2 linked regions of the Oreochromis niloticus genome follow. The protein of the gene in region 2 interacts with the protein of the main gene of each other region in a pairwise test. Links are inferred from orthologs where the notes say so. Each region holds a gene or a part of one and is shown on either strand. Other genes may lie near its edges.

Region 1 (6,196 bases), on a different chromosome or scaffold from region 2:
GTGTGGCTTTTTAAAGGCTGCATACTGTTAGGATGACTGCTCCCTTGCATACTTTTAATAGATGATTTAGCTTTGGTACTTAAAGCAATATCCCTAGCCAGATGCATTCCCTTTTATTACTATTTATATTTGAGCCAGATGGATGAGTAGTTTCCATTTATATCTTCAATAAATATTTATTGTCTGAAGAATCACACGGCACTTTCTTATTGTATTACAAGAGATGGAGCAGAGCACGGACTTAAGGCAGTCAGGGTGTTCATACTAACAGCCTGCTTTACTTAATGACATTATAGACCGTTGTGATTTATCTTTGCGATAAAGAGAGTATATTATCTGAAAAACTACTGACCAAAACGCAATTGTTAAAACTCTTTTTTAATAACCGAGGTTGGGAGGAAAATATACATGTGCATTCATTTTCCTGCATGGATGCTTTCTGCTATGGGCGTGTTATTGTGTGTATTCCACTATAATTACATTATAATTGCTAAAACATTTGCAGACAATATTTCTGAAAGCTCATGACTCACGTGTTGTAAACCTGCAGCTTGCTCTCCTTTAAATATGCAGTGCTGTTCTAATGAACCTGCCACAGCAGTGTTTCCCTGCCCCATGATTGCTTCCTTCCCGATTCAAGGCTACGCTGAAACGAATGAGATAGGCTCGAGCGCCTTGAAAAGTATTACCAGATAAGGAGGGAAGACAGCAGCATTAGTAAGGAACGGAAGAGCAGCCTGGAGATAAAGTGCAAGTGACTGAGGGAAAGTGAAGAAACCAGCCAAGTTTTTAGGGTAAAATTAGACACTCTGTGAGTTTATGTGAATGGTAATGGTTAAAGAAGACGAAATCCACATAATTTTAGTTTTTACTTTTATGAAAATACCGCAAAGCACAGTAATTTGCTTAACACAGTGTTATCAAAATACAGAAAAGGCAAAATTCTTGAACAAATTCAGGATATTTCATGTAAAAAATTGTAACAGAACAAAAGAAAAGAATACATTACAATCATACGGTATTAAAATACATAATGAGGAATGTTGGGCATGAATCAACAGCATCAGCAGCAGCAATCCATCCTCTTGATATTTACTGACAGCATACAGTCAATAAAAAATTCAGAAAAATGATCTAATGACATTATAAATGTGGTCAAAATATGTCACACAAGGGCATAGGCAGCCTGGTCGTTATTTGAGCATAAACAAACACACATTAGCTTCCACGTGGAACTTCTCCAAGAGAGAATTCCTGAGTACAAGTGTCAAACATTTACGGCTGCAAGAATGTGACGAGTTTTCTATTTTTTCTCGATCGCAGAATTTTTCCTCGGCCTGGATGCTTTTTCCATCCTGGAACAACAACAAAAAAAAAAGCAAAAAAAAAAAAAAAAGCATAACAGCTGATTAGCATAACATATAATACTGACGATTGTGCACTTTTTAGTCTCACAATTAACCAAACTGGCTTTCTAGGAACAGATTTTGCTTGGTTTCCTCCAGATCATAGCATAGCGATTGGCAGCAGTGGATGAATGCTTTGAAAAGCATCATCCAGCCTGAGTCAAAGCCAGTAGTTTTTTTTTTTTTTCAGATACCAAGCATTTTTAGGCCTGATAATAAATCAACTTAGCATAATTTGGTCTCTTTCCAATTCCCCCAGACTTTCTGAATTTTCTCCTATTTCCATCCAGTAAGTGGGTCTGAGTGGCAATTCAAATGCTGCCATTATTGAATTAAGCAGTGAGAAAATTCTCCTGAAATTATCATCTTCAGATAAAGACTTCACAATGAGCTGTGAAACATACACCCATGCACCCTTCCCGCCTGGCTCAGGTTTGCACACCTTTTGCGCACACGTCCATGCAGGCTTGCCGCGAGACAAAGTTGTTGTTGGTCCCACCGCAGCCTGAGTAGACAAACTCCTCACACGTCTTGGTGGCTGTGTTATAGTAATAGCGAGGTATGGCGGCTGAACACTTCCCTTTGTCCAGAGGCTCCCCGCAGAGCACGGGAGCGGCTGTAAGTGACACAACACAAGGAAGAGCTCACCAGTTATTGTTTAATCATTTCCTTGTGAATGCAATGACTTTGTCTACTGTGTATCCTCACAGGGATGACTCAGGGGGTAATCTGCTCACCTTTCTTTGGACTGCAGTACTCCATGCAAGAGGCTAGATTAAGGAAGCGGTTGGAATTCCCCTGGCAGCCACCATAATTAAATGGCTCACACTGCATGGTGGTCATGTTGAAGAAGTAGCGGGAGACGAGAGCCCGGCAGGGTCCCTCTTCTTTAGGAAATCTGCAGATTGGGGGAACCTCTGTGGAGAAGAATTGAAAAAAAAAATCAACATTTAACAGTGATATCTGGTGAAACAACACTAATTAATTCATATGAACAGGTTAACAACCAGAGAGGCACTGACTAGTTTCCTAAAAATGAAATAAAATAGAGATGGTTAAGTCACCATCACTGATATATCTACCGAATATCAGCTGAAACTGAAAGAAAATGTAATGTATCTGTGTCAATGCCCAATATTTATGTGTTGTGGGCTGGCTAAATGTTCAAAGATGGTGTAAAGAAGAGTTGAAAAACTTTAGAAACACATAAATTATTATTATTTATGTTTAATGACAATATTTTTTTCCCCTGGACGAGAAGGCTAAGTAGCAAGATTAAAGATCAGCTCAATTCTTACTTAAAACATGGGTACTGGCCCAGAATTTCATCCCTAATGATTCATGGTAATTCATAGGGGTCGGGGGGGAACGATACAGCATGGTATCGCGATATTTTGCATGACGATATTGTATCGATACAGGAATATTGAGTATACATATATATAATTAAATGAATTCAAATAATCTGAACAAGTAGGCTCACTTCATCCCCATTCTGAGATAATGTTAGTTGACTTTAACTTTACAAACTTGCATTAAATCAACTCAACTGGAAACCCATCCAGCACACATTTTGGCTGGTTTGTAGGGGATTAAATGTTTATTTCACTCAGTGACATGCAAATCAGTTTATACCTTTTGTGTAATGTGTTATTTCTGGAGTTTGATTGATATTCTGTCTCACTCTCCATTAAAATGAAACTACTATAAAAATAGAGGCTGTTCATTTGTTTCTAAGTAAACTTAACATACTTTACTAACATTATTTCCCCCACTGTAGTGGGGGATATAATTTGACCTCATTCAATGACAAACTGATATATTACAGTAGTAATATTAGTAGTAAAAAAAAATAAGTGAGGTGAGATAACTTTATCTTATTGGCCAAAACTGATTTTGACAAAGTTTCATTTTGAGGACATAGATCGCAGCTGGAAATGTGAGTAAACAGCAATACATGGTAATGCAATACTCAGCATATGACAATATCTTAAAAATCGCAATAATATCACATCTTGAGGGAAGTATTGTGATAATATCATATCACGTGTTGTCTGATTCCCACCTCTAATAATTCACGGGTCAGGCTACTTACTGGGAATTTTGTAGCATGTCTTGTGGCACTCCTGATAACTCTTGAAGTTATTGGCATTCCCTTGGCAGCCTCCATAGTCGAAATCCTCGCACGTCTGGGTGATAGTGTTGTAGTAATACCGCTGGATGTTGCCTCTGCAAGGTCCCTCATCCACTTGAAGAAGGCACACGCCTGAAAAGCACCAAGCAGATTGTTATTGAAATACCGGAGGACCGTTGTAAGGACACGGAAAAGAAAGTTTATGCAATGCTTAACAACACACGACAAACTGGATCTGTATTACGCCCGAGGTCATGTGATAACCAACAAGCTCAGAACTGCTTTTAAAAAGTTGGTTAAAACATTGAAGAAGCGCGAAGAAGAAATTAAACAAAAAAACACATGATGTGGAGTTACCTTTAGGTGGCAGCGTCAAAACGCCGTAAAACGAGGAAATTATTGTAAACAGAGCAAATGCGCAAAGCTTCATTTTGCAAAGTTTTGGTCGAGATCCAGACTTTTCCGCTCTGTCTACCATCCCCACTCAGACCTTGTTTTATAGCACAGCCAGGAAGAGGGACGGGCATGTACTGAGTCAGCGCGCCAAAGAAACTAAATTATTGCAGTTGATTAATGACGTCACAAGAAACGTTTTTATTCTGAATTACGTGGGGGAGCGTTAAATCCTGTGACTAAGTCTTAATTAAATATCAGGAGGAACTTGCTCTGCTTGAGAGAGTCAGATACTTTCACTGTCACAGGCCACTGGTTCTAGTGATGATGATGATGATGATGGGAATGTACAGCGATCCAGTAACCCACACAGCATCCTTGTCAAATTTCCACAGAGCCAATATTGCGTTGTATCTAGGGACACACACGCTTGTGAAACATTAACACATCTTTCTTGTCTGAGCCACACAGGCAAGTCCACACCAGAATACTTGTCTGACCGGATCGGAATCCACACACACACACACACACACACACGTACTCTCACTGAGAGTCACATTAATAGTACCGTGGCTCATGTTATCACTTATTTTGTTTAATGATTGCCACCACTAACGTTCTTCTTTCATGATAAAAGTGCTTCTTTCTACGACATCCTACCATGAAAAATCAGCCTTATCTGCAAGTTAAGTTAAAACTCACATTAACATTTGTATTGGTTTCATTCCATCCCACTGCTTTGGTTTTACCTTTATGAAAGATGTTAACTGGAAAACTGCCGTGCATTCACGTTTAGAAGAACGACATGTCTCCACCTTGACAGGTGGAGGCTAAACACAGATTAGCCGTCTTATCAAAATTAACCAGATAAATGAAGCGCCACCCCTTAACCCATATCCAAATGAGCCTGCAAGAAAACTCAGAGTTAAAATAGAACAAAAGTTCCAAACTGAATCTATAAAAGACAAAAAATACATCACCATGTTTTGTTTTGTTTTTTTACACCAAAGGAGCTCAAATGGACGCCTGTGTGAGTTGCCCACCCTTTCCTTTGTGTACTTGAGCTGCTGGTATGATCATTCAGTGGGGCCTTGTTTTAATCAGATTAGGGGATTAGAATTGTTTATGCTGATTACTTTATAACCCAGATTGAGAGAGAGGAGAGGGATTCTTCAGCAGGATTTCGGGGGTGAAGGACTGCTCCCTGTAAGCGTTCGTAAGTGCATTCCTATCCCTTCTGCTAAGTCTTACGAATTGTGAACATTTCCTTTAAGATCATTTATTTATCATGTGGAAGTAAGCATTAACAAAAAGGTTAAACGTTTCCTTTTTTTGACAGAAAATGCCAGTCATAAATGTGGAGGATCTGACAGATAAGGACAAGGCTGTGATGGAAGTAAACCAGCTTAAACTTGAAGTCAAACTCGAGAGGTGGTTGGTAAGTTCTCCACACTGAGGTGACTTGTGTGCTCAATATGCGTTTTTGATTAGATCCAAAAGTAAATATCAGACAGCTTCAATTTATTTAGTCAAACTAATTACATCACAAAGGCTATTCAAAACTGAAATACGCTTTCTGTCTCCTGCTTTCAGACATCTAAATGCTGTGAGGAAATCAAGGAATATATTCAGGCTCTAGTGGAGGAGGACACCCTCGTCAAAGGCATATCAGAGGAGAAGAACCCCTTCAAGGAGAAAGGTGGCTGTGTCATCTGCTAGACTGGACCTAAGGAGCTTTTCATATTGAGACTAGACTGTAAATGATTCAGATGAGAACTAGAAACAAAAGAAACATTTATGACTTCCCGTGTAAAACAATTCTTCATCTTGAGGCCAGATTTGTAGCCTTCTAATTCTTTATTTTTTTTTTTTGAAAGATGCACTAATTAAAAGTTGTATTTGGCAAGTGTTACATAATGCTTCTCTCTGTGTGGTGTATATAGTCTGAGCACATGGGCCCATATGTTGTTTCATTCACAGAAGCAACTGTCATTAAATGTGCACATTTATAATTCAGCCTGTCTCTGTGATTCACTGAAGGGTTGTAGACAAAGTAGAGAAACAGATAAATCTTCATAACTTCATTTGCATACATACAGAGGGTTTTTTTCCCCCTCCAAGTCTTTATGTGATCATTATTATTTTGTTCCAATAATAATGGTGAACATCAAATTTGAGATCTTATTCCCTAAAGTACGACGGGTTTGCGAGTCTTCTTCTTTTTTGCTCATTTCATTGTAGATTGAATTTATTTTAAATCTTC
Region 2 (7,478 bases):
GGTTTTTGGCATTGATGCGGCGGTGAGCTTTTTTCCTCATGTGATCCTTCAGCGTGGTTTTATCTCGAAACGTTTTCTCGCAGTACAGACACTGCAGACTGAAGCGAGGGGAGCGAAATGAAAAGGCGCGAGAAACAAAGCAAAACTTAATGCTGTGAATAAAAAGCAACGATTAGCATACCTGTCCAGTTTGTCCTGCAGCGTGTCGAGGAACTCGCTGCAGTAGACGATGTTGTCCGGCAGTCCGATGCTGAAGGAATGCTCTCTGGCCATGTGGTTCAGCAGAGACGACCTGGAAACAGCACGTGGAGCCGATTTTAATAAACGAAAGAAAACATCAGCTGACATCATCACTGTTAGCACTGCGCTGCAGTCCTTTGGGCTTCGTCCAGAAGTTCCCAGTTGGACAAGACGTCAAGATCCTTACGGCGTGCCCGTGGTGGCAGACAGAGGGGAGCAACATCCACCGCCATGGGCACGCGGCATGTTAAAATGTGAGGAGACCCGGAGTGGACACGGGTTATGTCTCTCGGCTGACTCCTCAGCATCCTCCCACAGAGGAGCTGGAGGGGGTGGCTGTGTAGAGGGAGGCCGAGCATCTGCGAACCAACACAGTGACTGAAAATGGATGGATAGAAGTTTAACTGGAGGTAAAGCCACAGATCCACAGACGAACTGTGGTAAACACCAGTGAGGAGCCAGTCACACCTTCATGCCATTTATGAACCAGCACACACCTGCACAGGTCTGAGACCTGACTGTTAGCAGAAGAAGAAGAAGGATGCACTGGTCTCACATCAGCTTCTTGGTTCAGGCTTAGACATGTCACTAAATTATGTTTATGGCGCTATGCATCAAAGCAGCTTTTTGGGGGTTAGATCACAAGAGGACGACTACAGGAAGCAAAGAAGCTTTTAGTCACATGATTTCAGGAAGCTCTTCCTTCTGTCTGCTCTAACACACGTGAGGTTTCCAGGACTGATGGGAATCCTGCTGGGCTTTACCTGTTTCCTGTGAACTCTTCACTGCAGAACATGCAGAGACGATGGAAGCTGCAGTCATCTCGCTCCTTCTGCTGCTGCTCCAGGACCTCCTCCTGTGGGAGCACAGAAGAAGAGCTCAGAGGAATTCTTCTCAAACTACCTCAGAGTGCTCAGATATTTAAAGTTCAGAGGTTACAAGGACACAAAACGTGTAAAATCATCATTAAATCTGCAAGAAAAAAAATCCATTCAAAGATTTTCAGACTTTGCCTCAAAATAAAGTTTAAAGGAAACTAAACTTCCAGCAAGATTCACTCTGGATGCTCTGAGTGTCACGTCTCCTCACCAGTCGTTTCTGCTGGAGCTTCTCACGGAGGACTCGGTCTTCTGGAAGGACGTCACACAGCAGGAAGTAGTCCTCCTGCTTCTCTGTCAGGTCAGCGAGGAAGAAGAGTTTTTAATGAGTCATTAATCAGAGCTGGAGGAGGTGTCTTTGATTCACTTTGAAAGGTCAGGTCCTCTGTGGCTTTGAGTGAACTCACCGACTGGGCCCGTGGAGTTGGTTTTAATGACGCTGCAGAAATCTGTGACCGGCTGCTCGAGGAATCTGCCCTTCCAGTACAGCAAGTACCTGATGGAGGAAACATGTGAGTAAAAACCACCAACCGACTCATAGCCAGGCTTACCGGCGCACAGAAACACTTCGCCACGATTCATAAAAGCAGCACACTAACCGGCGTGGACATGTTGGACTTGTTGTATATGCACTTGTAAGGGTTTCCCCCCATCACCCCAAATAATTAAAGTAGGTCTTTGGTGAAATGATCGAGTTCTAAATGCTGAAAACATCCAAACGTGTTCCAGAGAGTTAAACCGAGTGAGCCAGAGCGTGCGTGGTTCGTACTTTCGGAGGTCTGCGATGAGTTTGACATCAGCGATGACAAGCTTGTGCTCCATCAACAGGTGTCTGAGGAGGACGTCTTTCTGCGGCAGTGGGATGGACTCTGAGCAGAACAGGCAGACCAGCGGCTCGGAGCCGGGACATTGAACACCGGGAGCGCTGGAGGTGTCAGCCGGCTGATCGGGGAAACTCAGCGGCTCCAGAATGCTGTCCTTACCTGAGAAAGCAGAGAGACTACAGCTTATTTACCACACACACACACACACACACACACACACACACACACACACACTACTCCAGACCAGGTGAGTCATGACCAAGTGAAAGCGAGAATGTACAGCTTGGCATAAAGGAGCATTTCCCTCTGATCGACAAAATTCTGCCTGTACACAATTATTTTTATCACTCCTGGGGAATAAATATGATCTTAAAAAAAAAAAAAAAAAGTCAGCTCGCAAATTAATTAAATGGCCTGTATTTGTATAGCGCTTTACTAGTCCCTAAGGACCCCAAAGCGCTTTACACATTCAGTCATCCACCCATTCATTCACACACTGGTGATGGAGCCCTGGGGCGCACTGACCACCACCAGTAGGCAACGGGTGAAGTGTCTTGCCCAAGGACACAACGACCGAGACTGTCCGAGCCGGGGCTCGAACCGGCAACCTTCCGATTACAAGACGAACTGCCAACTCTTGAGCCACGATCGCTCATTAACTCATTAATCGAGCTCATACTTTCCACGCTGTTAAATCCCGAACAAACTTCACAGCTGTCAGACTGAGTGTACTGACTGAATATTCATTGATTGCTGTATAATCAGAGTTAGCAGCCCAGCTATTTCCTAGCCTGCTAGCTTAGCCGGGCGATTTCCCGCCAGCTTTTCTGATTTTTTGAGCCTTTTTTCTGCTGATTGTGAATTCCCACAGACTCGGAGAATCACCGACACCCAAACCTTCCCACGCTCACCTCAGGACGTCAGCATTAAAGCCGCGGACACGTTTAAAAATCCACACTTACCGTCTTTACTCGGCTCGCTGGCAGCCATGTCTGATGTCACGTGGTGCAAATAACACAAATCGGACCAATCGGAGGCTATAAAATGCCAACGAAGCGCCTTCGCGGAGCCCGGTAAAACACGAATGAGAAAAGGTGCATTCAAGTGGTTCAAGGAAATACAAAAACTTAAGTTTCGAAAGCTGAAGGTTAATTAATGTGAACGAAGTTGACAGTTGGACGTTGTTGCATATATTAAGCAAAGAATATAAATCACACGAACACTCAGATCCTCAAGATATACCTGAGAGTGAAAGTTCTCTGAACATGAAAGTTTAGTGTTCATAAATCTCCATTTATTAACATTACATTAGCATATGTTTCCTCCCCTCTATTACAAATTGTTAAAGGAAACGTTATTTGTGAATGTGTACCGTGTGTACAGGTGAAAGGTTCCCTAAGATAAACGTCTGAAAATAACATTTGAGTTGCTGTAAAGGGGAGCACAGGGATAGAAGGCTGGATATGGTGCAAATTCTTAAATAAATGACCCAAGTTTTATATGTGAAGTCAGTTTTAAGGTGGAGTGGCTGATGACACAGCTCATCATCCAGCTTGGATTCAGGAATTCACTGGAAGCACGTTGTGGGCGAAGACCACTGGGGGGCACAAACAGCTCAGTGTTCATCCTGCAGTCTGACTCACTCTCAGGTTTGGTGCTGTATTCTCACTTTAAAAAAAAAACTATAGATAAAAGCAATGACAGCCATACTATATAAATAAAAAACCTTTGTTCCTTTAGGCACAGAATACAAATATGAAAACACACTGGCAGCTGTTTTTTAAATATTGCAAATACATACATGATGTGATGTCATGCCATGATAATAACCTCATATATGACACGTTATTATGACTCTGTAATCACCGAAAAGTGCTCAGAGTCAATCGTCGTGACTGCAGTTTTTTAGTCAAGCATGAAAAACACAGTGTTTCACAAACACTTTGAACCAGTATATACACAAATATTTTTAGCTTTAAAACTTCATGTTCACTGTCATTCACTTCCTGTCAGTGGTCTTATGTTGGCGCATACACTGCCAGACACTCCTCCTCCATGCTTCATGGTGGGAACCATGCATGTAGAGACCATCGTTCACCTTTGTGGAACCAAAGATCTCAAATTTGGACTCATCAGACCAAAGCACAGATGGTCTAATGTCCACTCCTTGTGTTTCTTGGCCCAAACTAATCTCTTCTGCTTGTTGCTTTTCCTTAGTCTCCTCTGAACAGCTGATGTAGAGATGTGTCTGCTGGAACTCTGTGTGCCATTTATCTGAGCTCTAATCTTCACTTTTCAATCAATCAATCAATCAATCAATCAATCAATCAATCAATCAATCAATCAATCAATCAATCAATCAATCAATCAATTTTATTTATACAGCAACAGTTGCCTCCAGCTCCTTTATATTTTAAAGTAAGAACCTTATGATAATAAAGAGAAAACAGAGAAACTCCAACAATCAGATGTGAGCAAGCGCTTTGGTGACAGTGGAAAGGAGAAACTCTCTTTTAACAGGAAGAAACCTCCAGCAGAACCAGGCTCAGGGAGGGGCGAGCAGGCCCCAGGTAAATAGGTTTACCTAACAAAGTGAGTGCTTAGGATCTGGGTTCATCAACCAGTTTGTAACTGCACAAAGCCAGAATAAGTATGATTTAGTCTGATGCTTGCAGTGTTAATGCAAACAAAATGAAAGGAAACAATAATCAAAGCAATCTGGATTAATCTCCCTCTTACAGCAGTGTGACTAACGCAGATGTAGTGTTGGACAGGTGTGACACAGATGTTTCTGATGCCCCTCGTGGTTCTGTCAGGACATCATTAGAGTGACATGAAAACCTTCAGATATTCTGACGCTACTCTTTCAAACCCTTTCACTCTCTCTCTCCCTCTGGAGGTGGTGCTCTCTCGGCCTCCCTGCGGCTCCTCGTTCTGCTCGAGCAGGCCGCTCAGGTGCGTTCAGGCGCTGCATTATTCACGCCGAGCCCGGGGGCTCTAATTAAACCCTGGAGAGAAGCGAGGGGAGGCAGCCTCGGTCAGCCTGGATATGATGAGGATTTCTGATTTAGACTTCAACACGAGCCGCATCAATCTTCTTTTTTTTCTCCCTGCAAGCCTGCACACTGTAACTCAAACAGCACAGAGTTCCTGATGCTTTGGATGAAGCAAAAGCACGTTTGGAGACCTGGACGTCCACACCGAAGCTCAGAGTGCTAAAATATCCACACAGCAGCAAACCAAGTGAGCCCGATTGCTTCTGAACTGAATCACTGCATCCCAGTGTCGGAGTTTACTGTGACAAACCTCTTCTATCTGCATACACACACATCACAACAAGCTGAATCATGTACTAAAGATGTACTGTGTTTGCAACATGCTGGCCGTCTCACATCCCTGTCTGAGTCTGTCTGAGAGGGACTGGAAGCTCTGGGGGGGGGACTCCCACGAGACGATCTGTGAAATCACCTTCAGATTAAGTGTTCAATTGCACGTTTATCGTTCAACACAAGGAAGTGCTCACAATGAGTCACTAAAAGCAACAAATAATTCAACCCAATCACCGAGCAACCACCGGTGTGTGTCTTGTTGTCAGGAGATTGCCGTCTTATTTAAAGTTTAGCGTGACTGAACCATAATGCAGCTGGAGTGTTGGGACTGCCTGAGAATATCTGTAAAAAAAATCAAACATTTATCAAATACAGTATTTACAAGCTGCAGTTCCTCCAACGTCCACCAGAGGCTCCAGCGGTGAGGCAGTCCCCACAGACTCCCATGTTAAAATGTCCACCTGTAATGGATCATTTCGTCCCTCATAGCAACTGTAGCAAGGACAATGTTTTTATAAGTCGCCCGTTTGAATTGTATTAAGGCTTAAATTTTGCATTACTAGGGGCGTGGCCTCTTTGAATGACAGGTGGATAGTGACGCAGGTGACAGCTGTCTGCTCGCCTTCACCTGACCTGGACCTCTGGACCGTGTTTGTGCTGCTGGAGTCTGCTGGAGCATTTTTAATGACATCATCTGATCAATAATAAGACTGCTGTGAAGTTACTGTACCAACAGAACGTCAAAGAAGTCCGAGCTTCAGTTTTACTGAGTGAAATTTGACGATTTCTACTGAGCAGAATTGGAAATTGTGAATGCAGAGTTGCCATGTAGAAAAACTCCAGACTGCTAAAACAATTCTCCTGTGACGATGTTGGATTCAACAAAGACGATCACAATCAGTGCAGCAGAACAGGAAGTACTTTCTTTATTCCAGTGAAAACCTCATGCCTACATTACCCATGATGCAACTCCAGTTTGTTCTGTGATAAACAGACAGAGGTTTAAATGAACACGGTGATTTTTAAAGAATGTAACCGTAAAACACTCGTGTTTAATTGGTCAGACTGTCACAGCTGATGTGAGGACGGCTTCATGTGGACAAGAACTGATCGGTAAATATTTCCATTTACAGACTCGGCATCTTTATCCCTTCACTGTAAAGCGTAAACACTGTGCTGCCTCTCACTGTACCTGTCTTACATCAGCCTGTCGCAAGCTTCAAATTAGTGTCACTCTGTTCATCCAGGCCCCACTTTGCCTGTTTTTACACTGCCTCCATCCCGGTCTTCCAGATTTATCTGCACCGTATCTCCGTTTGCAGCTGCTCTGGCCCGATGCTCTCCATTAAGCTTCCACATAATCAAATCTACTGACAGCTCGCCTACTAGAGAGCTGCAGAAACGCTGCTTTCCTCCGGCTTTTCAAAGAACACATTCAAACCACCCCCTCCGCCTGACTGCTGCTCTCCACTCGGGTCCAACCTGGATGCTGCTGGCGATGAATTGTTGCATAGCAACCGCCTGCTCAGCACCTACACCGTTCCTCGTGTTTGGAGCTCGAGAACCTCAGAAGATGTCATGATGTGAGCTGAGTCGCCCACACGGATCAGAGTCACAACAGCCACAAGGGCTCTTCTTCCTCTGCTCATTCTCTGTCCAGCTCACACACACACAAACACACACTGCTACACACCAAACAACTGTGTGTAACATGTTTCCTGCAGTCTAAACATCTGCAGGTGACCACCTACACCTGTGACAGTGATGTCATCAGAACAAGATCTGCATGACTCCATGTCAGAACAGCTGAGGAAATCACACCAGTTGTGGGTGTGATACTTGTAGGTGTGTGTAATGTATTTGTAGTTTTTTTTTGCTGTCTGTCTTTTTGCTCCGTCTCTGTTGCTACATTTCACGTCACTTTTCTGGTCTCAGAAAACTGTTGTTTTTCTTTTGGTTACTTCCTGTTTTACTTTGTTTTTCTTGTTTTGTGTAACAGTTGTGTTTTTCTGTACTGTACTGAAGGTCTGCCTGACTGTGAGTAAATGAGTGCATGCATTGTTATGATCTTAAATTCATGTTGTTTGTCATTTTTGATCTGGATTATTATTATTATCCATCCATCTTGTTCCGCGTATCCGAGGCCGGGTCGCGAGGGCAGCAGCCTAAGCAGAGAAGCCCAGACCTCCCTCTCCCCAGCCACCATC

The links. The genes of interacting proteins can lie anywhere in the genome.
Region 1: the proteins of znf277 (region 2) and gngt1 interact in a two-hybrid assay, tested with the Homo sapiens proteins (3 studies listed by BioGRID and IntAct). The two-hybrid records come from large-scale screens. The link is inferred for Oreochromis niloticus from reciprocal best matches to the Homo sapiens genes ZNF277 and GNGT1.

What each region holds. Positions count from the first base shown.
Region 1 is NC_031985.2:24,331,378-24,337,573, forward strand, and holds gngt1 (guanine nucleotide-binding protein G(T) subunit gamma-T1), read left to right. Parts: upstream 1-4,990; 5' UTR 4,991-5,149; intron 5,150-5,272; 5' UTR 5,273-5,275; coding exon 5,276-5,371; intron 5,372-5,526; coding exon 5,527-5,652; 3' UTR 5,653-5,686; downstream 5,687-6,196. Other genes in the region: tfpi2 (tissue factor pathway inhibitor 2), read right to left, coding at 1,276-1,355, 1,849-2,022, 2,144-2,323, 3,502-3,672, 3,898-4,018. UniProt on the Homo sapiens protein: Guanine nucleotide-binding proteins (G proteins) are involved as a modulator or transducer in various transmembrane signaling systems.
Region 2 is NC_031972.2:1,103,143-1,110,620, forward strand, and holds the start of znf277 (zinc finger protein 277), read right to left. Parts: upstream 3,002-7,478; 5' UTR 2,933-3,001; coding exon 2,905-2,932; intron 2,102-2,904; coding exon 1,888-2,101; intron 1,615-1,887; coding exon 1,526-1,614; intron 1,413-1,525; coding exon 1,330-1,412; intron 1,097-1,329; coding exon 1,005-1,096; intron 293-1,004; coding exon 182-292; intron 99-181; coding exon 1-98. UniProt on the Homo sapiens protein: Probable transcription factor. Involved in modulation of cellular senescence; represses transcription of the tumor suppressor gene INK4A/ARF, perhaps acting via the Polycomb group (PcG) complex PRC1.